4 linked regions of the Arabidopsis thaliana genome follow. The protein of the gene in region 1 interacts with the protein of each later gene in a pairwise test. Each region holds a gene or a part of one and is shown in the gene's direction. Other genes may lie near its edges. The genes, in order: RAP2.9, MYB1, HB51 and bZIP52.

Region 1 (4,875 bases):
AGACAAATGAAAACTAAATATAGTTTTGTTTAAGTAAAATATTAAGGACTATTTTAATAATATTAAATTATGTCATATAATAGTAGTTATATAGTGAACAATAAAAATAACTTAAGTCATTATTTATTCAAAAATAGATAAATAAATAAAAAGTTAGAATACTAGATACTGAAAAAGTGTGGATTACTATTTAAAAACTAAATATCATCAAAATAAAATAAAATAATGAGATATAATATATAGAATTTCTTTTTATTCACTAATAGGATACTATATTTTTAACCTGCGGTACACTAAGAGACTATTTTTTTAATAAAAACTAAAAGTTTAATTTGTTTATATATTATCTATATGTAATATACTGTTTTGTATTTTATAAATATACAACCCCAATTTCTATATATTATTTGTGTACAATCCCTTGATTTTGTCATGCGGTACACCATAAGTCGATTTTTTATAACTTAAATTTTAAATTAGATATATTTTGTTAAGATAGTTTGTTTTGTTATATGTTTTAAATTATATCTGTAATTTTATTTTAAATGTTAGTTCTAGGCTCTCACCCGTAGTGTACAATCTCGTTTTAATATCGACCAACCCCGTCCTATTATAATACTCTGTCCCATGAAATTAAAAATTATTATTTATTTTTTAAAATAATACTTTTATTTAAAAGACATTGTATATATGTTCTTCTTAAATATATCTAAATACTAAATCTGTTCTTCTTAACATATTTTTAAAATGATCAAGAATTACCAAGAACATCCCAACTATAAAACATAATTTGAAAAATAAAATAAAAATAATATGAAAAAATGAAAAGACAAAAGAAATAATATTGGTATTTTCGTGACGATGTTATGAATATTCATGTTATGCAAAACTATACAAAATATATCACATTGGTATTTAAAAAAAAAAAAAAAAATCCCCACACTACTTTTCTGTTAAATTGTTTGTCATCTTCCTGTCTTGTGAATGTTTTTTCTCTTCAAACTTTGCTTCTCTTTCTAAAAGGAAAGAGACATGAATCCAATCTAAAGTAATACGTTTGTGATATTTGTGTTTAGTGATGGGAAATGAGATTTATGTGTATAGTATTTATAGGAAAGCTAGATAGGTTTCATTAATACATAGCAACCGATCGAAAAAATATAATATCATGCAAGATTTTAGGGAACAAATTATTTTGATTAGTTTATGATCGGAATATGTTAGGATCAATCGTGTATTCGAGTATTTAATTTATCTTCATAATCTAAATTTTTTTAGGTATATTGAAGGAAAGAATTATTTTAGTTAATGCAGAGTGTTTAAAATTAATAAACATCTCGTCACATATAATACAAAATCTCAGAATGAATCTAATTGGAGAAGTGTTTTATATGTGGATAGTAATATTATCGCAAATACAAATTTGTAGTTAGTAAATGAGATTTGGAATTTTGTATGTAAAATTTGAATAAAATTAGTGGAGTCAATACGGAGAAATTTGGGGAAAATGTTGTTAGCGTAAATCTTGCTTTAAATTCTTGAATTGAGTTTGATTTTGGAAAGTTTGATTAATTTCAAATATTTTACTTGAAAATGTTTTAGAAATAAATATCTTCTAAGTTGTTTTAGATTGTTGTGTACGATTATGTGTAGCTAATTTTAAAAAATTGATTTGAAGTTTGTTGTTTGGATTAAATTTGAATGATAATGTGATTGATATTTTAAATCAAAAATTGAAAGTAAAATTAAATATTTAAAAAAAAAAAACATTTAATGCTAATAATATTCTTTGTAAATATATATAAAAATGGAAAAATATTACAAAAATAGATATATAAATATGTGAATTGCTGTAAATGTTATTAAAAAATTATGTTCGGACCTAATATATTTATATAGTTAAGACAAAACTGATAGAATACAATGTGTTGCATTGTGGTAGCCTAAAGAATGTGCTGCCACGTCGGGTGTCCAAATGTCGACAGCCTTCACAGAGACTTTCTCAGCCGTTTATTAAACCGCACTGCCAAACAGTCAGATGTCTTCAACACTAAAAGTCAAACAAGAGTTCTTAGGTTCAATAGTAAAATTGGAAAGAGAGGCGGTTCTTGTCTATGTCGGCTATATTTTAATTTTAATTAATATAAAAAATTTGGGAAAGAAAAAAGTGACGGCGCAGCCACATAACGCATATCTCTAGCCGCCTAACGTGACACATATCTTCTCCCTCATGTAATCCTCTCTTTATATATTACACACGTAGACATGTCACGTTTGGTTAGGGTTTGATGGTGATTCAATACAAACGAAAACAAGAGTTTCCTATGGTGAAAGAAGGAATGGTCATGACCGAGAAGCCAAAGAGGAATCTCATAAGCTCTAATGAGAAGCGATACAAAGGAATAAGGATGAGGAAGTGGGGCAAGTGGGTGGCTGAGATAAGAGAGCCTAATAAACGATCACGGATCTGGCTTGGTTCATACAAAACCGCCGTTGCCGCGGCACGGGCCTACGATACCGCTGTGTTTTACTTACGTGGTCCTTCGGCGAGACTCAATTTCCCTGAAGAGGTCTTTAAGGATGGAAACGGCGGTGAAGGCTTAGGAGGAGATATGTCTCCGACGTTGATACGGAAGAAGGCGGCTGAGGTGGGAGCTAGAGTCGACGCAGAGTTGCGGTTAGAGAATAGGATGGTTGAGAACTTAGACATGAATAAGTTGCCGGAGGCATATGGATTGTAATTTATAGTTTGGTAGTTTATAGGTTGGAGATTGCCCGGAGACAGAGTCAAACAGAGGTTCTCTGACTCATATGAGGCATAATATAGTTAATATAGTAATTTTTGTTTTGAGCATAGTAATTATGTCATAACATGGATCCTGAAAAAACAAACAAATAACGAAACAAATGCTAAGAACCAATGATTATAACGGATGATTAAGTACAATTTGGTTTGTTATAACCAATGATGTGTAACAGTTGTATGAAACTGTCTTCCCGACTTTGTTAGAATAGGGAGAAGTGAAACCATTGTCTTCGTTTCATGACCGTAAAGTCTTGTCTTCTAATGGAACAGCAAAGGCAGCTCCACATATTGATTGGGGTTTTATCCATGAGATACCAAATTGGATTTGCATGGGCCCATAGCTGGTGGCCTAAACGGGCATGTGATGTAAATTTAATTATGTGATCCGTTTATCGAAAACTTTTGTGAAATAAACGATTCAAAAAGGTTCAATCCCTTTAGCCTTTAGGCCTATTCTGGGCTTAGCTTGTTTAATTATTAAAAGAAAAATGTTTGTTGGCAAAGTTAATTTAGATGCTCTCCGAGGCACTTAAAATTCCTTTCTTGGCAAAGTTTAATCTCCCAACAATTAACTTCTTGTCGGTTCGATCAGGTGGGAAAAAAGCCAAAAACCGAAAACCGAACCATATAGAAACGAAATAAATAGTTTGGTTTGGTTATAGTTTTATATAAAAATCCATTTATAATTTTATTAAGATTTCGATTTAGGTTTGGTTTGGTTAAAAAAACGTAAAACCGAATGTTTTTTTTTGCTTTTTTGTTTATTAAAATTAATTTCACCAGGCTTAGTATTATTGTCCTTTTAGTAATTTTAGAAAATAACAAATAATTATATAAGAAAAAAATCCATTACATTTTACTTATTGGTTGATATAGTATTTTTATTTTAAGTTTATTTTTATTTATGCATCATCAAATTTATTTATCCTTGGTAAAAATATGAAATTATCAAAAGAAAAGCGGGCCTAAACTGGAACCAAACCGAACGAAGATACACATTGTTTACATATGGTTTCAATATTTATGAAACCGTAAAACCGTAAAAACCAAATCGTAACCAAACCGAATTACATACGGTTTTTACATTGTTATAGTTTTGGTAAAACTGTAAAATCGTAAAAAAAAAAAGAACCGAAATCAAACCGAAAAACTGTACGCCCACCCCAAGGTTACATAGATCATCGCAATTTGCAAACCCAAAATTTCTGTTTGAACCAAAAGATCATAGTACGATATATAAAACAAATGAATTTTAAAATACATAATACAGTTTGATCTCTAGTGTTTATCACTTGTTTATGTGAAAGAAAATGATTAACCTTAAAAAAGATCAAATAGAAAAAATAATTGGCAAAAAATTTAAAGACTATATATATATTTTTTAAATATGCTATTCTTATTCATATATATATATATATATATATATATATATATATATATATATTTTAACATATTATGATTCTTTTTTAAGAAGTGAAATATTAAAGTTAATTTAAAATTATAAAAGCAAAACAGAATGAAACTTAAGATGGAGAGTAAATGAAAAAATTGTAATAGGTTTTATTCATAATATGAACATAACTAGATGATTATCAATTAAGTACACTATAAGGGATATGTCAAAATTCCGTTGCATAATATTTATTCGTTGATGTTATAAAAATTAGATGTGTTTGATACTTTGTTTTGAGAAAGTGACATGTAAAATCTTGGGCAGGTTTTGATATAAAGTGGGAGTTATCATTTTGTATTTTACTTCCCAATGATTTCTCAATTTTTATAACGTTTTGAATTTCATAAACCTAGTGGCTAGTGATATGATACTCTCAAGAAACCTACCCACCTAAAAAGAGAGAAAAACAAAACAAAAGAATAGTAAGGCACTAAACACTAAAACTACCACTTCTCTTGTATCGCCGACAAAGCTTTGTTCAGTGGCAAAGATGATGAATCATTTGCTTTTGGCTCTTTTCCTTGTTGGAACCATCGCCTTACCAGATAGAGGAACTCAACAATTGACCAACGATGGCCTCACCGGCGCGAGGCGAGAGATACTCTCTTTCTTAGAC
Region 2 (6,115 bases), on another chromosome or scaffold:
ACTCCCTCCATCTATAGAGAGAAGGATGAGAGAGCTAGCAGAGAAAGAGAGAAACGTGTTATGGAGATATTGAAGCAACGAGACTTGTGGTTCTACTTAATAATTTATAGAATGCAGAGTGGTAAGTGATAACTAACGAAGGACTAAACATTTGATGTTAATTAGGGTTGTCTAAGATAATGGTTTGACTATACAAGTAAATATAAATGAATATTCAATATGTGCTATTATAATTATATTTTGGTTGTTTGGTTTTCTTTAGAACTTTAACTAGCTACGTAAACGTAAGTTCTATCCAATGTTACTGCCACATCATTTTGATAGTTTTTCAACTTTAGTATTATAGTTCGTTGCTCTCTTATTGTTTATTATTATATGATATATTGTTTAAAATGGCTATCGAAGATTAAACTTAAAAAAACGATACCTTTTCTATACAGAAAAAATCCCTTACAATTATTAATAGCTAGTGTGTAATTTAAACAAGAAATGTATAGTTAATTATTCATTTTAATGTAAGCTTCTTAAAACTTGTTTATGATTTTTTTGTTGCACAATTTCGAAATAATTAGTCAAGAAATATTAGAATCGGAGTTAATGGATTGCTATATGTACATCGACCAGACGACCACTGTTCTCTAACATAATCAATTGTGTCTAAATATTTGTCTACGTGTATTTTTGTAGATATTGAAACATTTCTTGCTAGCGAAGCTATGCCCATAATAAGTATTTTCAATCTGTTAGTAGAGACATCGTTGTCTAAATTTCTAACAGTTGATTACTCCCTTTATTATTTTAGTTTATACTTTTTTCGTAAATAATAACAAAAGTCATCAAATTTTTTGCTTCTCAACACAAACAACCTCAATTCAATATAATTCGTATTACAAGTCCAATATAGACAACTACTTATCTAATTTGATATCTAAGTAACAACCACAATTTTAGTGACAGATTTATAATAAAACTGAACATTTCTGAATTTGCAAAATCCTTCCCAAAGATCGATGAATTCAATATCAAAGTAATCCAAATCTTAATTTAAACATTGAAAAGGTAGAAACTAAAGAAACCAATGGTCAAATTATTTTTCATTGCTACTGTTCTCAGAATTTAAAAGTGAAAAGATATCCAAGAATCATAAGAGATCGTAGTATACGTACTTAAAAGTTGATCGAATTCGATAAAATTAAGGAATCAACGAATCCAAAAATTTGCTTTAGACTTGATTTAAATGCAAAAGCAATACATGCGACGCACTCCAGACACAGGCCAATGGATTTTGTCTCAGAATATATGACAGTTGTTGTATTGTGAAATTATTCTTTCAACTATTGATCAATTATTTCTTATAAAAAGTTCCCCACTATCATATTAATTTGTTTACTTTAATACATTTTTATATATATATAATGAAGAATTTTGATACGTACGTGCATAGAAACGGTCCATATGTTCAAGTTGAAACTTGAAAGCATCCAAGTCAACTTTACAATATCTTCGAGAAACGTGTTGCATGTATTTTTTGTGTAGATAACTAGATATATTTTCTATATACGTTTCACATAATATATCTCTGCATGAATATTTGTAATATTGGATGCGACAACTGTTTTCTCTTGACCGGCCTAGTTGATCCAGTTAATCATTCTTCTACGACGTCAGTGGACATGTAACTTTATATGTACATACTTGATTATTGTAAAGATAGGTTCTACATATCTGGTCAATTAAATTTTAGGTTAATAATGTATTTTATGTACATTGTAAAACGAACGTTCTTGCCATAATTTGAAAAATCGTTTTATTCAAATCTAAAGATTTGTGGTCAGGCAAAGGTCGTTCTCTATTAACAATAATCTGACTGTTTACTGTATGTGCAAGCATTGGTCTGATCATGAGCTTTCTTTATTAGCTTTCGGCCTTTCGCCATCTCATTTCATACGCGAATATGGATTCTCATTGACTTTTCAAATTTTAAAGACTACTTAAACTCAATCAACTCCAGGATCTTGCATACTTTCTCATGAAATTTCAATTTTAGTTGGGCAAACTGAATTTTTAAACATGGTTTGTGAGTTGACTTAGAAACCCATTTAGGATGTAGAATTCTTTCTATAATTCAAACGTTTAAACATTAATTAGATTTTAATTTACCCAAAAAAGCATTAGTATTTTGAAATTTGGTCAAAATAACAAAGCTTACTTCCGCATTTACTATTTTATCATTTGTATTTATAGATTGAAAATACTTCAAAATTTCTTAGAATCTAATATAAATCAAATCCTACTTTAAATTTTATATTAAATTAGCACCGGATTTAACCTAGTATTTAAAACCCAAAAAAAATTAAAAAAAATTGTAACCATCTTAAAATGTGGTTTGATAAAAAAACAAAATAATGAAAGATGAGACAATATTATCTCATTAACGTGAAACAATATTATTTTGTTATTTACTAGTGAAGAAAATTAACGGTGAGTGATAAATCAGAAGTCTAAAATGGATTTCTAGGTTACGACAAAAAAAATAAAAAAAAATGGATTTCTAGGTTAGCTTTCTTGGGTAGAGAAATAAGTTTACTTTTCACTTTCAGTTTTCATTATCCATTGAATGGGTCATGAAGAGGCCTGATATGGTGAATAATGGGCTTAAATAGGCCCAATAAAAGTACTTAGTCCACCGGTAATGAATTTCCCGCCATAGAAGAAAGTCATCAACTTCCGAAGATCTTCCGTTTTAAGTGATTTACCTAAATATCCCCCAAAAAAGGTTGACCAAAAGTTAAGACAGAGGATAACGATTAAGGGTAACAAAGTAAATGGCAATTATAAGGGCAAAATAGTAATTAAAAGGAATAAAAGATCCCCCGAAACACAAGCCCTACGAATCTAGTCGAAAGAGCGAGTGTGTTCACGCGACCTCAACGAGACTCAACGCTTTTACAGTTAAATCCGGTAGGTGAGAGAGAGAGAGAGAAGGGAAGCTTATGGAGGCAGAGATCGTGAGACGATCGGAGGTAACGGGATTAAGAAGGGAGGTGGAAGAATCGTCAATTGGTAGAGGAGATTGCGATGGTGATGGCGGCGATGTGGGAGAAGATGCGGCAGGGTTCGTTGGGACGAGCGGGAGAGGAAGAAGAGATCGAGTTAAAGGGCCGTGGTCGAAGGAGGAGGATGATGTGTTGAGTGAGCTCGTTAAGAGGTTGGGAGCGAGGAATTGGAGTTTTATCGCTCGGAGTATTCCTGGTCGTTCAGGCAAGTCTTGTCGTCTTCGTTGGTGTAATCAGCTCAATCCAAATCTTATACGCAATTCATTTACTGGTATTTTCTCTCTTTTGAAAGTATTCAATTTCAATTGGTGATTCCATTTTTCCTGTGATCTTCTCTTTTTTTTTTGAGTTTTGATTCATCTGTGTTGAATTGAGGAATCTAGGGTTCTTATGCTGTCTTTCGGAGTGTGGCTGTTGAGCAACCTTGTGTTTTTTTGTGAAATGGATGTGAAATGTGAACTTGGCTGAGAGATTGTTAGTCCATTTCTAGTTTTATATTTTTAGTTTGTATCGAAATGTTTTAAAGTTTGAGACTTGCAAGTTTTTTTGGATTTTGATCTACTCCTTGAATCCCAAAAGAACAACAAAGTTAGGTTGGATACCATTTGACTACCTCTAGTTGTATTGTTATAGCTGATCGAAACACAGTTTTATTTAGGGGGACATTAGTAGATTATTGTGTTCTTGTTCTGTAACATATCATCAGTAACACTAAACCAGGCACTTCTTTGTCTCTCTTTTTGTTTTTGTTTTGGTTTATGAAGAGGTAGAGGATCAGGCTATCATCGCAGCACATGCCATCCACGGAAACAAATGGGCTGTTATCGCGAAGCTCCTCCCCGGAAGAACAGATAATGCTATCAAGAACCACTGGAACTCTGCTTTAAGACGTCGATTCATAGACTTTGAAAAGGCCAAGAATATAGGAACTGGAAGCTTGGTCGTGGATGATTCTGGATTTGACAGAACGACAACAGTAGCCTCATCAGAAGAAACTTTATCTTCAGGCGGTGGTTGCCATGTAACTACTCCAATTGTATCTCCAGAAGGCAAAGAAGCTACCACCTCCATGGAAATGTCTGAAGAACAATGCGTAGAGAAAACAAACGGAGAAGGTATTTCTAGGCAAGATGATAAGGATCCTCCAACGCTTTTCCGCCCAGTGCCTCGGCTCAGTTCTTTTAATGCTTGCAATCACATGGAAGGATCACCCTCTCCACATATACAAGACCAAAATCAGCTCCAATCATCTAAACAAGACGCAGCAATGCTAAGATTGCTTGAAGGAGCTTACAGCGAACGGTTTGTGCCTCAAACATGTGGAGGTGGTTGTTGCAGCAACAATCCCGATGGCAGTTTTCAGCAAGAATCATTGTTGGGTCCAGAGTTTGTGGATTACTTAGACTCACCAACGTTTCCGAGTTCCGAACTAGCTGCTATAGCAACGGAAATAGGCAGCCTCGCTTGGCTGAGAAGCGGTTTAGAGAGTAGCAGCGTGAGGGTGATGGAAGACGCAGTTGGTCGGTTAAGGCCTCAAGGCTCCAGGGGTCATCGAGATCATTATCTTGTATCTGAACAGGGGACGAACATAACCAATGTCCTGTCCACATAAAAACTGGGAGAACAAAAACAGAGTCTCTGAGATTTTTTATTTTTCTTTCTTTTTTGAGATTTCTTTACATTTATTTTTATTTACTCTTGATCTCGGAGAGCTTGAGTTTTACTTGTAATCAAAGTTGTGATGTAATTGAGTAGAGATAGATTTTATAGTTCTGAAATCGAGTAGAGACCACAGTGTCTTCAACTTTCTTTGTGACTTGTATGGCGTCTGCATTAACATATCATAATGGTTGTTTCACTTTGCAACATGCCTTGACAACAATCTGACGATGATGATCAATGTCATAACACTACTAATTAGTGTGAATGTGTAGTAACAAAAACCACAATCCAGTTAAGATCAAGGGAAAACGGCAAGAAAATCCGGTTTTAGCACACAAAAAACTGATGGTTCACCAAGATTCTCTCAAACCAAGTCAAAGAAGCAAACATGTATATGTGCTATGTGTATATTCACATTTCTACATACTTATGCAGAGAAAGAAGCTGTACAAATCTGGCTTTTTTGTTGTCGTCGTAGTAACTCTAAAAAGCTTCGAGAGAAGAGCCATGTCTAAGAGCTTCTTTAGCTTCAGCCTCCATCCCAAGCTTTAAAAGACAAGCTGCTTGTAAGTAGAGAGCGATCGAAAACTCTGGCGATGCGACCTGAGTTTGCATCGCATCACTTAGAGCCTCGCGGAACATATCACTCATTAGGTAACATAGACACCGTCTGGCTAATACTGTTGGTGATACCACTGGTGCTCCACTCATGAACTGTACATACGGAAAAAATTCATATATCTATATCTATTGTATTTTCTGCTGGTAAAAGATGACGGTTTCTTGATGATTCAAAATGATACCTCTGTGTAGAATTCGATTGCGGTTTCAAAATCTTTAGCACGAAATGCGGCATCTCCGTGCTTCTTGTAATCCATATTCTCTTGCATTTGACCCGTCCACATTTGGAATGAGAACTGCAGCAATATTTTTTTCCTCATGATGAGATATTGAGATGTGTCAAAAGAGATATGTTTCTCAAAAATATAATGTACCTCATTTGTGACCACCACATCATCCTCTCCATACCCGAGTTTCTCGAGTAGTTCGTGCATACCACTTAGATCCACTCTCCAGCATGCTTCTCCGAAAGGGGTCAAGGGCAATGGCTCCTTTGTTGCAGGTTCAGTGTATGATGGAGTCTGTCATTATTAAGTCCCATGTACACATAAGAAAGCCTGCAGAACCCGAAACCTTGGAAGATTTAATGTAGTAATGACTTACAGGGATGTTTTCTTCTTTGACGTTGGGCCATAACTCAGCTCTTTTCTCAAGTCTTGAAAGAGCTGACATAAGAAACTTTATGCTTGGCCTCTCGTCTGGTTCAGGGCGCAAACAGCGGGAAGCTAGATGGATAAGTTCTGTTCTATCCTCATCAGAGAATTGACCATCCAGAG
Region 3 (6,078 bases), on another chromosome or scaffold:
ATCTTAGTAACTGATGGATCTAAATGAAATCGTCTTTTTAATTTTATTTTTATTTTTGTCGTCTATATGAAATCGTGTATGTTATATAAAAACTAATGAAATCATTTGGGGAAAGTCTCAATTCTCAAAGAACAATAACAAAGGAATTTAGTTGTGAATTATACCTGTACATGTTGGATTCTCCTCAATATCTGAGTTTTTAGTTCTGGCTCTCCTCTTTTTTTTTTTTTTTTTTTTTTTTTTTTTTCTAATGCATGCATGGAGATGAGAGTGAGACTCTGCTAAAAGTTTTTATTCGGATATTATTTAATTTGTTTGACAGTATTAACAAAAGGCTTTTAACTTTTAAGATTCTGTGAAATCATTCATCATGAACCCAACTAATTACCTTCTGGTTCTTAACATTATCTACTACTCGAAGAGTTAATATATAACCCTATAACTTCATCACTAGCTCTATTCTAATAAAGATGTATACGAAATTATGAATAAATATTACATTATATATTTTCGTATGTGAATGTATAATTAAATACACAAAAAGTTAAAAGGATTAGTGGCGATAGGACAAAACGGATAAGAAAGAAATGGAATTTCAAGCTGAATGATGATTCTAAATGATTTTATGGGTCTTAATTTTAGTTTATTTCGAATACAAATCGGTCTTATTTCTCATTTAATCCAGACAAGGAAAACCATATATATATTGGCGTAACACGTAAACATTTAAAAGTTAAAAACACGTTATTTTTGGTCCATATCGAAGACTTTTTACGTAGGGTCTTAGCTAAAATAGTGAAATTTGCATATTATTTTTTTAAGAAAATAGAGTATGAAATGTTGTTATCAAACGGATCCTTTACAATGAATGCAATCATCGAAAAAAAACCATAAAAATATTCTTAAAAAAATTATACACTATGAAAACTGTGATGTCTCATCTCTTTCAAGGGTTTAGGCTTAAAAGCTTCCCTTTTCTCTTATACACTGTCGTTAGTTTTAAATCTCATTACTTATCATCAATCTGTTCAAACCCTATCTACTTTTAACATAGAAAAAGATTCCTTTCCTTCCCTCTCTACCCTTCTCTCTCCATCTCTTACACTATTTACACATCAACAATTTGTTAAGTAGCAATTGAATATGAGAGAGAGAGATATAGGGAGAGAGATTGTGTGTAGAACTGCAAGTTAATAAAGAATGTGGGGGTAAAGAGTACACAGTAGATGAAGACAATGAGACTTAGTTTTCAAACTTCTTCTTTGCTTTGGCTTTTATTGGTCATATCAGACTCTTTATTTATAGATGATCTACTTAGCTCTCTGTGTTGATTCTTAGCTTTCAAAGGTAGCTTTTGGCCTCACCCTATATACTCTATACAGGTTACTGCACATATACATTGGTATGGACTTGCCACTAGTGCCAAACCTTTTGCACATTAATTTTCACATATATATAAGTAGATTTAGATGGTGTATATATAAGACAAAACAATAACTGAAAATCTTAGGACCAAGAATGAAGGCATAACCAAAGAAGGGGGGAACCACATTGTCAGTTTTTATGGAGTTTTTGGGGGACCATTAGTTTCGTTTCACTCTTTCTCTTTCACTTATTTAAGCTTAACTTTGACAAATACGTACCCCCACCTATATTACTACACGAAATTACAATATATTTATATATAAAATCTCATCAATTTCTTTTCAACTACATTTATGTTTCCATGTTTATAAAATTCAGTCAATTAAGACGGTGGTTTAAATGTTAAAGGCCACAAGTAGATTTATGTGAATGTTAAAAAGTCCCAAGTTTAGAAATTCCGTCAAATATAATTAATCCATGCAGATTTTGATTTACCATTTATTGGTTTACACTAGATTTTCAAAAGGAATATTTGGTGCATTCACACAAGGCTCAAGATTGTTTGTTTTTTCTTCAAAAAATATGATATTATCAAAACCTCTAATTTTGTAGCAAAATCAATTTTATTTAAATCTAAAACATGTATTGTCTTGGTTGGTTCACATCATCTTGCAAACTCTGTAACACTATAAATTGTTACAATTTGTATGTTTATCGAAAAAGCGCAACGATAATATTGACATAAACAAGTAGATTAGGTGTCATGATAGTATATATATTATAAAAAAACTAATACGAAAGAAAAAACAGTTTCCCGAAAATAAATTAAAAATTCCAAGTTTGACCCTTGGACACAACAAAATATATCAACCTATATTAATGTTAGAGAGATGATGGATGATGATTGATGATGTGCAAATGAGACAAAATTATATCACACTTTCCTTTTCAATCTTTAAATTCCAAAACAAAAGGTACTGTTGGGTTGCTCCCTTATTAGGTGAAAAAAACCTCACACAACACAGACAATTTCACTCTGTCTCTTTCACTACACCTCTATATCTCCCTCTAGATACATATCCCTATTTATATATGTATTGTTTCGAACACTGCGTGCTCTCACACTTTGTTACACCTCCAAAAGACAAAGTACATAGAAGAAGAAACTTCTTGTCACGCCTCTCTTACCCCTTCCCTTGTGGTCCAATAAAACCCTAATTTTCTTTTCTTTCTTTTATCCATTGTATTAGATCCTATATCTTTCTTCCTTATAGACCATCTCTCATGTCTTCTTATATATATTAAGATATTCACAAGAACTACAAAAGAAAGAAAGGAGATGGAGTGGTCAACAACGAGCAACGTAGAAAACGTGAGAGTAGCTTTCATGCCACCGCCATGGCCGGAGTCTAGTTCCTTTAACTCGCTCCACAGCTTCAACTTTGATCCTTACGCAGGTATATTCACACACCATCGTACCAAGTCTGCATATGTTACATGCTTTCGTTTTTTTTACTTTTAGATGTGTTTAATTCCATATTTGACGAATTCATGAACTTTAAAACCTTATTTATCCCACTTGCAAATGTTCTCAAGAAGTTTTTTTTTTTCTGTGAATGATGTAAAGAATTTCAAATATGACGTCCCTAAACTTCATTCCAAATGTCAACTAAAACGTTACTTTTCTGATGAGAAGCTAAGATTTTCTTATCTTCAGTCTACAATATCTATAAATAAAGTTTCTTACTTTTTTCTTGGGATCCTACAAAAACAATTTCTTGGGATCCAAATGCAAAAAGGTAAAACGTCACTTTTGAAAAGTTGAGATTCGTTTATGGTATAGTTCACTCTAAGAAAAATGGTTGCGGACATAATTTTATTCTTCTTATACTTTTGGAAGTTTTTTTTTTTTTTTTTTTTTTTTCGTATAATGATTATATTGTTGCGCTTCTATGTTTAAATATTTCCTTTTATCCTTTCGGGGCGTTTGCTAAAATGTTTAACAGCAGGAAATTCATATACGCCTGGCGATACACAAACCGGACCGGTTATCTCTGTACCGGAATCAGAAAAGATCATGAATGCGTACCGATTTCCGAACAACAACAATGAGATGATAAAAAAGAAGAGACTAACGAGTGGACAATTAGCTTCACTTGAGCGAAGTTTTCAAGAAGAGATCAAATTAGATTCAGACAGGAAGGTGAAGCTGTCGAGAGAGCTCGGTCTGCAGCCACGTCAGATAGCAGTTTGGTTCCAAAACCGCCGTGCACGGTGGAAGGCGAAGCAGCTTGAGCAGTTGTACGACTCGCTTAGACAAGAGTACGACGTCGTTTCTAGGGAGAAACAAATGTTACACGATGAGGTTTGTGTATTATATTGCACAAAATTAAAATCATGGGATCTAATTACATATTATCGTTTTCTTAATTTATCCCTTAAAGTCTTGATTCTATCAGATTGCCCCCCTTAAAAAATTGGATTGGTGGTGCAGGTGAAGAAGCTGAGAGCTTTACTAAGAGACCAGGGTTTGATCAAGAAGCAAATCTCTGCCGGGACCATCAAAGTTTCCGGTGAGGAAGACACGGTGGAGATTTCATCGGTGGTGGTAGCTCATCCAAGAACGGAGAATATGAACGCAAATCAAATCACCGGAGGGAATCAAGTTTACGGTCAATACAACAATCCGATGCTGGTTGCTTCCTCTGGCTGGCCGTCATACCCCTGATAGATGTTGCTGATCTCAGAGAGAGGGAAAGAGAATGAGAGAACGAGAGAAAGAGAGAGAGAGAGATTGTGTCAAATAGAGCTTTAGACTAGGACTTTAGTAGTGTTATAGACTAAGACAAGCTTTCTCTCATTGTACGATCTTAAAACATAAATGGCACGTTCTTGGATGCGAGATTGAGTCTGAAAATTGTTGAGTTGGTTTTGTTGAACAACTATACTATGAACACTCAGAATTGGCGAATGTCCGAAACAAAACTAGCTATAAACCAAAATAATGACGAGAGTAAACGAGATTGTACAAATCTTGACACTGATGCTCAGCATTTTCCGCTTCCCTTCACCGAACTTGAGACCTCTTGACGCAAAAAAAAGCTGCTTAGGCTTTGTGTGTGTGTGTGTGTGTGTGTGTGTTGTAGCTTGGTAAAAAGCTAATCTTTATATGTACATGACTGTCTCCAGGTAAGCTTTGATTGAAGAAGGCTTTAGTTGTTAAATATTTAAGAACTTTACATTTCGAATCAGAGATCATAAAAATTGTAACCTTGACAGTATTCCAATAACTGTCTCATATTGATAAAACATCAGACGCAAAAGCCATAAAGTGATCAGAAGTAGTACGAAGCTGCCACTCCATTGTTTATATTTGGAACCGTCGTTGCTAGTTTGTTTGGGCCTAGTCAGGAGTTATTTTGGGCCTAACTAAGAGTCAGTGAATCTGAGCTTAAAGTTTGGTAAGATGTGTAACTTGTAATGGGCCAATCAAATTTTGAACCAATTTTAGTATTTTACAAACCAACTTCGAATAGCTGTCTTTAAACTGAAATATACTTGATCCTAAACATTGAACACATGTATAAGTAATAACTAAAATAATTCAATTGAAATTAATTAATTAACAGAGTATTAGTATATGAACACCAAAAAGTCGCCTAATTATATCGTCACAGTATTTCAGTGCACAAGCTATTTTTCTTCTTCGAATGTTCCTTGACGCCTGATTATTTGTAAACTTTTAAGTTAACATATTAAAATATGCAAATATAACTATTATTTGTTTATTACAAATTAATGAAGAAAAACGCCCAATTATAATTTTACACACACACACAAACAATCCCGGGACTTTTCAATTATTTTTCGTTACACACGCCAAACAAACAAAAAAAATCTGACAAAACTTAGACTTCACGAATCTTCACATTCAATCTCCTCACCCAAATCGAATGAAGAATCATATGAAACACATCAAACCTCTTAGCCGGAGAATTCACCTCAAAATGTCTCCTTACCTTCAACACTCTTCTGTACATCCTTAAGTACTGTCTCGGCGATATAGATGTCAATATCGTTTTCAAATTCGGTATGTCTTCCACTGAAACGATCACCGAGAACGATCTCCAGTTCAGTACATCGCTGAACGGAGGAACATATCCTGAGTTTATCAAAACCGGGACGCAACCCGAGTAGAGTGCCTCCACGATCCTCGGGCTCGCAACCTCATAACCGCTAGGACAAATGCAGAACTTGCTGTTCCGCATCATGTCAGAATAAGACGTTCCTCTAGGGAGATACTTGTGGACTCTAATGTCATTATCTTTGTTCTCCCAATGCTGGAGCAAGACTGGCCTTACCGGTCCGTGTACACCCCCTGCAAAGAAGGCGAGGATGGGACGGCTGGAAGGTGACGGTCCACCGACCAATCCAGTTAAGGATCCCGTCCTTAGATTGATCTCCGGTATCGACACATCTTTTCTTGGTTTGAATCTCTCTGACGTGTTGGCATTGCACAAAGCTCTAATCGAATTATGTCCTAGATGTGGATGAGAGAAGCTTGCCTCAGGACCCTATACCAAAAAATTTCAAGATTATAACGATAACTAGCTAACCAGAAGATATAAGCCAAATATATTGTTATAGCGTACCCAATCGTGACAAGAAAGTATGAAATGATCGGCTCCGATGCTGCGGTTCCAATATGGGTAT
Region 4 (5,725 bases), on another chromosome or scaffold:
GGAAGTAAACAACAAAGTCCTGGACTAACAAGAGTTCTAAGGACTTGATATTCCCAATTTCCTTTGGTATACTTCCGGTGATCTTATTCCACATGAAACTCCTGGCATTAGAGAAGAAGTTGTACAATACAAAAAGAAAGTTATTCACCATTGAGTATGACAAAAGATCAAGCAACATATCGTGTTAAAAACACGTACAGGATAGTAAGACGAGACAACCGGCCAAGCTCCGGAGACAAGTTCCCTGAGAGATTCATACTGAACAATTGCCTACAAGTATAAACAAAGCTAACTCAAACAAATCTCAAGGAAGACCAAATAAAAGAAAAAAGCAAGAGTGAAGAAGACAATACAATTCGCTGACATGAAGATAACCATCATCAAGAGTGGAGTTGAAGCAGACAACACCAGTCCAATTCGAATTGCACGGGTCTCCATGCTTCCAATTTCTCAATCTATGAACAGGATCGTTCAAACTTTCTTTGATCACTCGCAAAGCCCTCACTAAAACCAAAAAAAACATCAATGATCAGTACCAAATCAGTCGAAAGCTAAGAAAACCCATTGTCACAGACACAAATTGTCTGAAGATCTAACACCAAAGACAAAGCCTTTTAACAACAACAACAACAAAAAAGAAACCTTCAACGGGATTGGTGATGTCGTCTTGAGCAAAAGTAGAAGAAAAGCAACAGAAGAGGAAGAAGAAGAGCAGAGGTATGAGGAGACGAGAGACATGATGGGTCGAAAACATATCGAGAGAGGAGGAAACAGAGGAGACCCAAGGAAAAAACGAAATCTCGAGAGAGAGAGAGTTTAGAAGGAAAAGGCCATGACCAAGTAAGAAACACAAGACAAAGAAAGAGGAAAGTAGTTGGTATTGGGTGGGAGCATTGAAGAGTGATAATACGACATTTTCTAAGTTTGACTATTTCAGGTAATGGATGAGACCGACGGAAGAGCGTCATCATAAGTTTCCGTTGCGCCGCCGCCATAACTTCACCACCTTCTTCCGTCAAAACCATTCTACTTGCTATTTTTCTTCCTTTGTTTAATGATTCCTTGTCTGACCTGTCTTTGACCTTTTTGTCGTTTTTTTAATCCTTTTTTAATGACAGTAGGTAAATCTCTTGCCAGGTGCGATGAATTTCCAAATATTGTCAATAAAGTTACCTTTTTATCCCACCTTGATTTTTTTTTTATGTATTAATTAAAATTTAAAAACGTATACCATTAGCAAATAGTAGCAATCATTGGTATATTGGAATCATATAGTATATGGCAATTTGGTCATCGATATCGTATCTTTATGTGCATTTTGGCCCCCACGATACTAAAAGTCACGAAATTTTCCAAAGTATCGACTTTTATTGGAAAATGGTGCTGATTATCAACTGATTTGTAGAAGTGTGATTAATTACCTGTAGTCATTATGATTTTCTTGAACAAAAAAAGAAGAAACAGAAGATGTATGTCACTATGTCGTATCATTACGAGAGGGAAAAAAAAGAAACAGCTGGAATAAATTACTCAAATAAGAAAAGAAATACAATGGGCACTATTAAAAAGCATAGACATGAGCTATATATTATTTATGTTTAGAGAAGAACTTTCCAACAGAATTTGGTTTTAAAAAATACCCGTTAGGTGACAATAAATGGGAGAAACTATATCTTAAGTATGTTCATTATTTATATATAAAAAAAGGGAGAATCACAATTCACAAGTATGTTGATAAATAATAATAAAACAAAAAAAAAAAAGACAAAAGAAACTTTAGCTGGTAAAAGTAAGCATCATTAGGTTTTTAATTTGAATCACTATTAAATGATGCCGGTCCACTACTTGCGTTTAAGACAATTTAGAGAGACTTAACTAAAAAACTTATTACTTAAAGCGATCAATACGACCATCTTTTTAATTATTTTGACCGGTAAACAAAGTGATGCCCAATTGCCAATTTAAGAGAAGGCCCAAAACATCCTCCTGTCCACTACAGGCGCATTATATGCTCGAGGATTTCTTAAAACAAAACAATACTTGTCTTCTTGTATGGGCCTGATAATTAAGGCCTCCGTATGATTTAGATCCAACCAATAAGTATTTTTCACTATAAGTGAATTTTACTTGTTTCCCAATCCATAGATAGTTCCATACCAAGTTACCAACTTATTATCCCACAAAACATTCTCTCAGACTCTCAGTTCATACAAGGCTTTCTGCCTATTTTTTACTTGTTAAAATTTTGACTCAAAGATACAAAAATATACACTCAGACGTGGGGAGATGTAATGCCATAACAGCTTAAATTAATAAATTTCGTTGAAGCAACTACAGAATCTTGTAATGAATGCTACAAAGAAGATTTAAAGTTAAACAAATTTAAATCATGAAATCGAATAATTAAATAAAATACAAAGAAAAAGGAAAAAAAAATAAAAAAAAAAGGGAGGGAGACAAGATGCTGCGATGGTTCACGTGCCAATGTGCCTTTTACTTTTCATCAACTAGTTTTCTTTTTAATTATTAATAAATCAACTCAATTTCGCAATTTTATAGTTAGTGACGTCACTTCTCTCTCCTCACAGAGTCGAGTTTCTCTCCTACGCTCTTCATTTCATTTCATTTGATAGAGAGAGAGAGAGAGAGAGAGAGAGAGAAAGAGCTTCGTCTTCTTCATCTCCATCATTATCTCCATTGACATTGTTCTCAATTGCGAATAATAATCATAATTATTCACACAACCAAAGCATTCATCTCTCAGATTCTCTTAAAAAAATGGAGAAATCAGATCCTCCACCAGTCCCAAAGCCCGGCGCCACTATTATCCCCTCCTCCGATCCAATTCCTAATGCCGATCCGATTCCATCTTCTTCCTTCCACCGCCGATCTCGCTCCGACGATATGTCCATGTTCATGTTCATGGATCCCCTCTCCTCCGCCGCACCACCTTCCTCCGACGACCTTCCCTCCGACGACGATCTCTTCTCTTCTTTCATCGATGTCGATAGCCTCACCTCTAATCCCAATCCCTTTCAAAATCCTTCCCTCTCCTCCAACTCCGTTTCCGGCGCTGCTAATCCTCCTCCTCCTCCTTCCTCTCGTCCTCGCCACCGTCACAGCAATTCCGTTGACGCTGGATGCGCCATGTATGCCGGTGATATCATGGACGCTAAGAAAGCTATGCCTCCTGAAAAACTCTCTGAGCTTTGGAACATCGATCCCAAACGCGCCAAAAGGTCCTTCTTCTTCTTCTTCAAATTTGTTTCTCTTTCCACAGAATTGAAGAATTGCAATGAAATTAGGGATTTGATTACAGGATTCTAGCGAATCGACAATCTGCAGCTCGATCCAAAGAGAGAAAAGCTCGATACATTCAAGAACTTGAGCGCAAAGTTCAATCTCTTCAAACCGAAGCTACCACTCTCTCTGCTCAGCTTACTCTCTACCAGGTTTCCATATTCGGCGATTCCTCGTTTGATCCCAACAGAATAGGAAAGTTCTTTCCTCTGTTTTACATACATAGACAGATCTTGATTTCAATGTTGTTTTGATTGATCCAGAGAGACACAAATGGACTAGCAAACGAAAACACAGAGCTGAAACTTAGGTTGCAAGCAATGGAACAACAAGCTCAGCTTCGTAATGGTAAGCACAAAAAAAAAAGAAGCTAATTTCTTTGTATGCATTTTGGTGCATTTCTTCAATATTTGCTTTTTGATGTTACAGCTTTAAACGAAGCGTTGAGGAAAGAAGTTGAAAGGATGAAGATGGAGACAGGAGAAATCTCTGGTAATTCAGATTCGTTTGATATGGGAATGCAGCAGATTCAGTATTCTTCCTCAACTTTCATGGCTATTCCACCATATCATGGCTCAATGAACCTCCATGATATGCAGATGCATTCTAGTTTCAATCCTATGGAGATGTCCAATTCTCAAAGCGTGTCGGACTTTCTACAGAACGGCCGAATGCAAGGGCTGGAGATTAGTAGCAATAGCTCAAGCTTAGTCAAATCTGAAGGACCTTCTCTCTCTGCTAGTGAGAGTAGCTCTGCCTATTGACGACAAGATTATGATGAGGCTCATTTTTCTGTTAATAGGTTTTTTTTTTTTTCAATTCATTTGATTCACTTTTGATTATTTATTCTTTCTTTTTTTTGAGGTGCCATTGTGCAAGAAAGGACGTACGTATACATTTGTGTTGGTTATGTGTCGTGAGTTTCGTTGTTTGCTATTCCCATTGTTTGTTCTTCAAGGAACAAAGGAGACTAATAAATTTCATTTTTCTTTTGTATACAATGATGTTTGCTACGTTTTGTTTTATTTTACTAGGAGATGGAGATGTTTAATAAGTTCATTCCAATTGGGTTAATAGTTTGATTTTGGGATCAATGATTTTGATACGACAACACCAAGGCAGTTCCTCAGTAGCTTCTTCTCCAAGACACCCTCACATCCGTCATCCCATTAGAGTTTTGAGACAACTTCTCCCAACCGGACTTCTCCATGAGACAAAATTTCCCAAACTTGGAGTCGGAGTTGAAATGAGAGACGAAGCATTGAGAGATTAGTTTTTGAGACTCTGTAAGACTGTTAACGAAAATATTCGACCTTTGAAAGACATCTAACACGATTCAACCTTTAAGCAAAGACCCATTGTTGGAGAGAACCAACAAAAGTTCCAACCTTTCCAAACTGAGCTAGCAAGAACAATAGAACATGCATAACAATAAGAACGTGGAGAGTTTAGAACATTGTTACCATGTTATCAGACGAAACATCTACTCTCTGGACTGTGGACGTCCTTGGAGAAGCTCGGTCTATTTCGCAAAATAACTTCCAAAAAAAAAAGGAGAGAGCTCAGAATGGGGCAATATCAACTGATATTCAGTAGAATGCATTGGACCCAACCAATGCTAAAGCCAATTTCTTCACAGCTCATGCACCAGCCGGGAATCGAACCCGGGTCTGTACCGTGGCAGGGTACTATTCTACCACTAGACCACTGGTGCTTTGATGACAATTGTTTTGTTTTAATATCTGATATACAATAAAACCACATTTAAACCAATAGGCCCTATTTGATGGCGATACGTAATTTTATTTTTTGGGCTTTTTCATCTTTTGCCAGTGGGAATTTGTGAATTGTGAGTGTTTGTTTCTAACTTTCTATGAAATCGAAATTTGAGAAAATTGTGAGAAATTCAAGAGAATACATGTAAACTAGGGTTCAACAAGTAAATTGCCCCCACAAAACTATGCCAAAAAATGAAAAAACAAAACAAAACATGCCGATAGACAAATTCTAATCCGTATGAAGCCTCGATGTATCTTGAGCACAATATAAATATTTGATTAAATAGAAGCATTTGGGAAGACAACGAGAGATTAGTGTTTGGCTAAAAGAAAAAAAAACGAAACAGAATCCATTTTGTTAATTAGGTTGTGGTCAAACTCAACCCAACTAAGTTAACGACTAATTATTTAAAGATAATACTGATTAATTAAGAAATATCAACGAAGCTTCGGGCGAACCTTAAGAGAGAGATGACGTATGTGCTGCGGTCATTCACTTTCTTTATAGTTTTCCACATACACACTCCTGCGCCCGGTCCCAGAGCCTTTACCTTGTTACGTCTCTAGTTCATAACTACATGTCTACCATGTATTATAGGGATATCAAAATGGTCTATACATGATTCATTATTTCATATATCTAGGTT

Evidence for each region.
Region 2: the proteins of RAP2.9 (region 1) and MYB1 interact in a two-hybrid assay, tested with the Arabidopsis thaliana proteins (one large-scale study listed by BioGRID).
Region 3: the proteins of RAP2.9 (region 1) and HB51 interact in a two-hybrid assay, tested with the Arabidopsis thaliana proteins (one large-scale study listed by BioGRID).
Region 4: the proteins of RAP2.9 (region 1) and bZIP52 interact in a two-hybrid assay, tested with the Arabidopsis thaliana proteins (one large-scale study listed by BioGRID).

Annotation. Positions count from the first base shown.
Region 1 is NC_003075.7:4,071,959-4,076,833, reverse strand, and holds RAP2.9 (uncharacterized protein), read left to right. Parts: upstream 1-2,098; 5' UTR 2,099-2,288; coding exon 2,289-2,741; 3' UTR 2,742-3,117; downstream 3,118-4,875. Other genes in the region: AT4G06744 (Leucine-rich repeat (LRR) family protein), read left to right, coding at 4,750-4,875.
Region 2 is NC_003074.8:2,830,467-2,836,581, forward strand, and holds MYB1 (myb domain protein 1), read left to right. Parts: upstream 1-2,879; 5' UTR 2,880-2,993; coding exon 2,994-3,327; intron 3,328-3,820; coding exon 3,821-4,668; 3' UTR 4,669-4,924; downstream 4,925-6,115. Other genes in the region: LAC7 (laccase 7), read right to left, coding at 1-11; BSK9 (kinase with tetratricopeptide repeat domain-containing protein), read right to left, coding at 5,202-5,432, 5,522-5,635, 5,714-5,860, 5,943-6,115.
Region 3 is NC_003076.8:1,002,281-1,008,358, forward strand, and holds HB51 (homeobox 51), read left to right. Parts: upstream 1-2,501; 5' UTR 2,502-2,704; coding exon 2,705-2,822; intron 2,823-3,374; coding exon 3,375-3,730; coding exon of another isoform or gene 3,731-3,838; exon of another isoform or gene 3,839-3,859; coding exon 3,860-4,093; 3' UTR 4,094-4,351; downstream 4,352-6,078. Other genes in the region: AT5G03795 (Exostosin family protein), read right to left, coding at 5,274-5,939, 6,018-6,078. UniProt on the Arabidopsis thaliana protein: Putative transcription factor.
Region 4 is NC_003070.9:2,102,455-2,108,179, forward strand, and holds bZIP52 (basic leucine-zipper 52), read left to right. Parts: upstream 1-2,593; 5' UTR 2,594-2,778; coding exon 2,779-3,239; intron 3,240-3,319; coding exon 3,320-3,452; coding exon of another isoform or gene 3,453-3,554; intron 3,555-3,563; coding exon 3,564-3,648; intron 3,649-3,729; coding exon 3,730-4,064; 3' UTR 4,065-4,295; downstream 4,296-5,725. Other genes in the region: AT1G06840 (Leucine-rich repeat protein kinase family protein), read right to left, coding at 30-101, 199-270, 354-504, 643-754.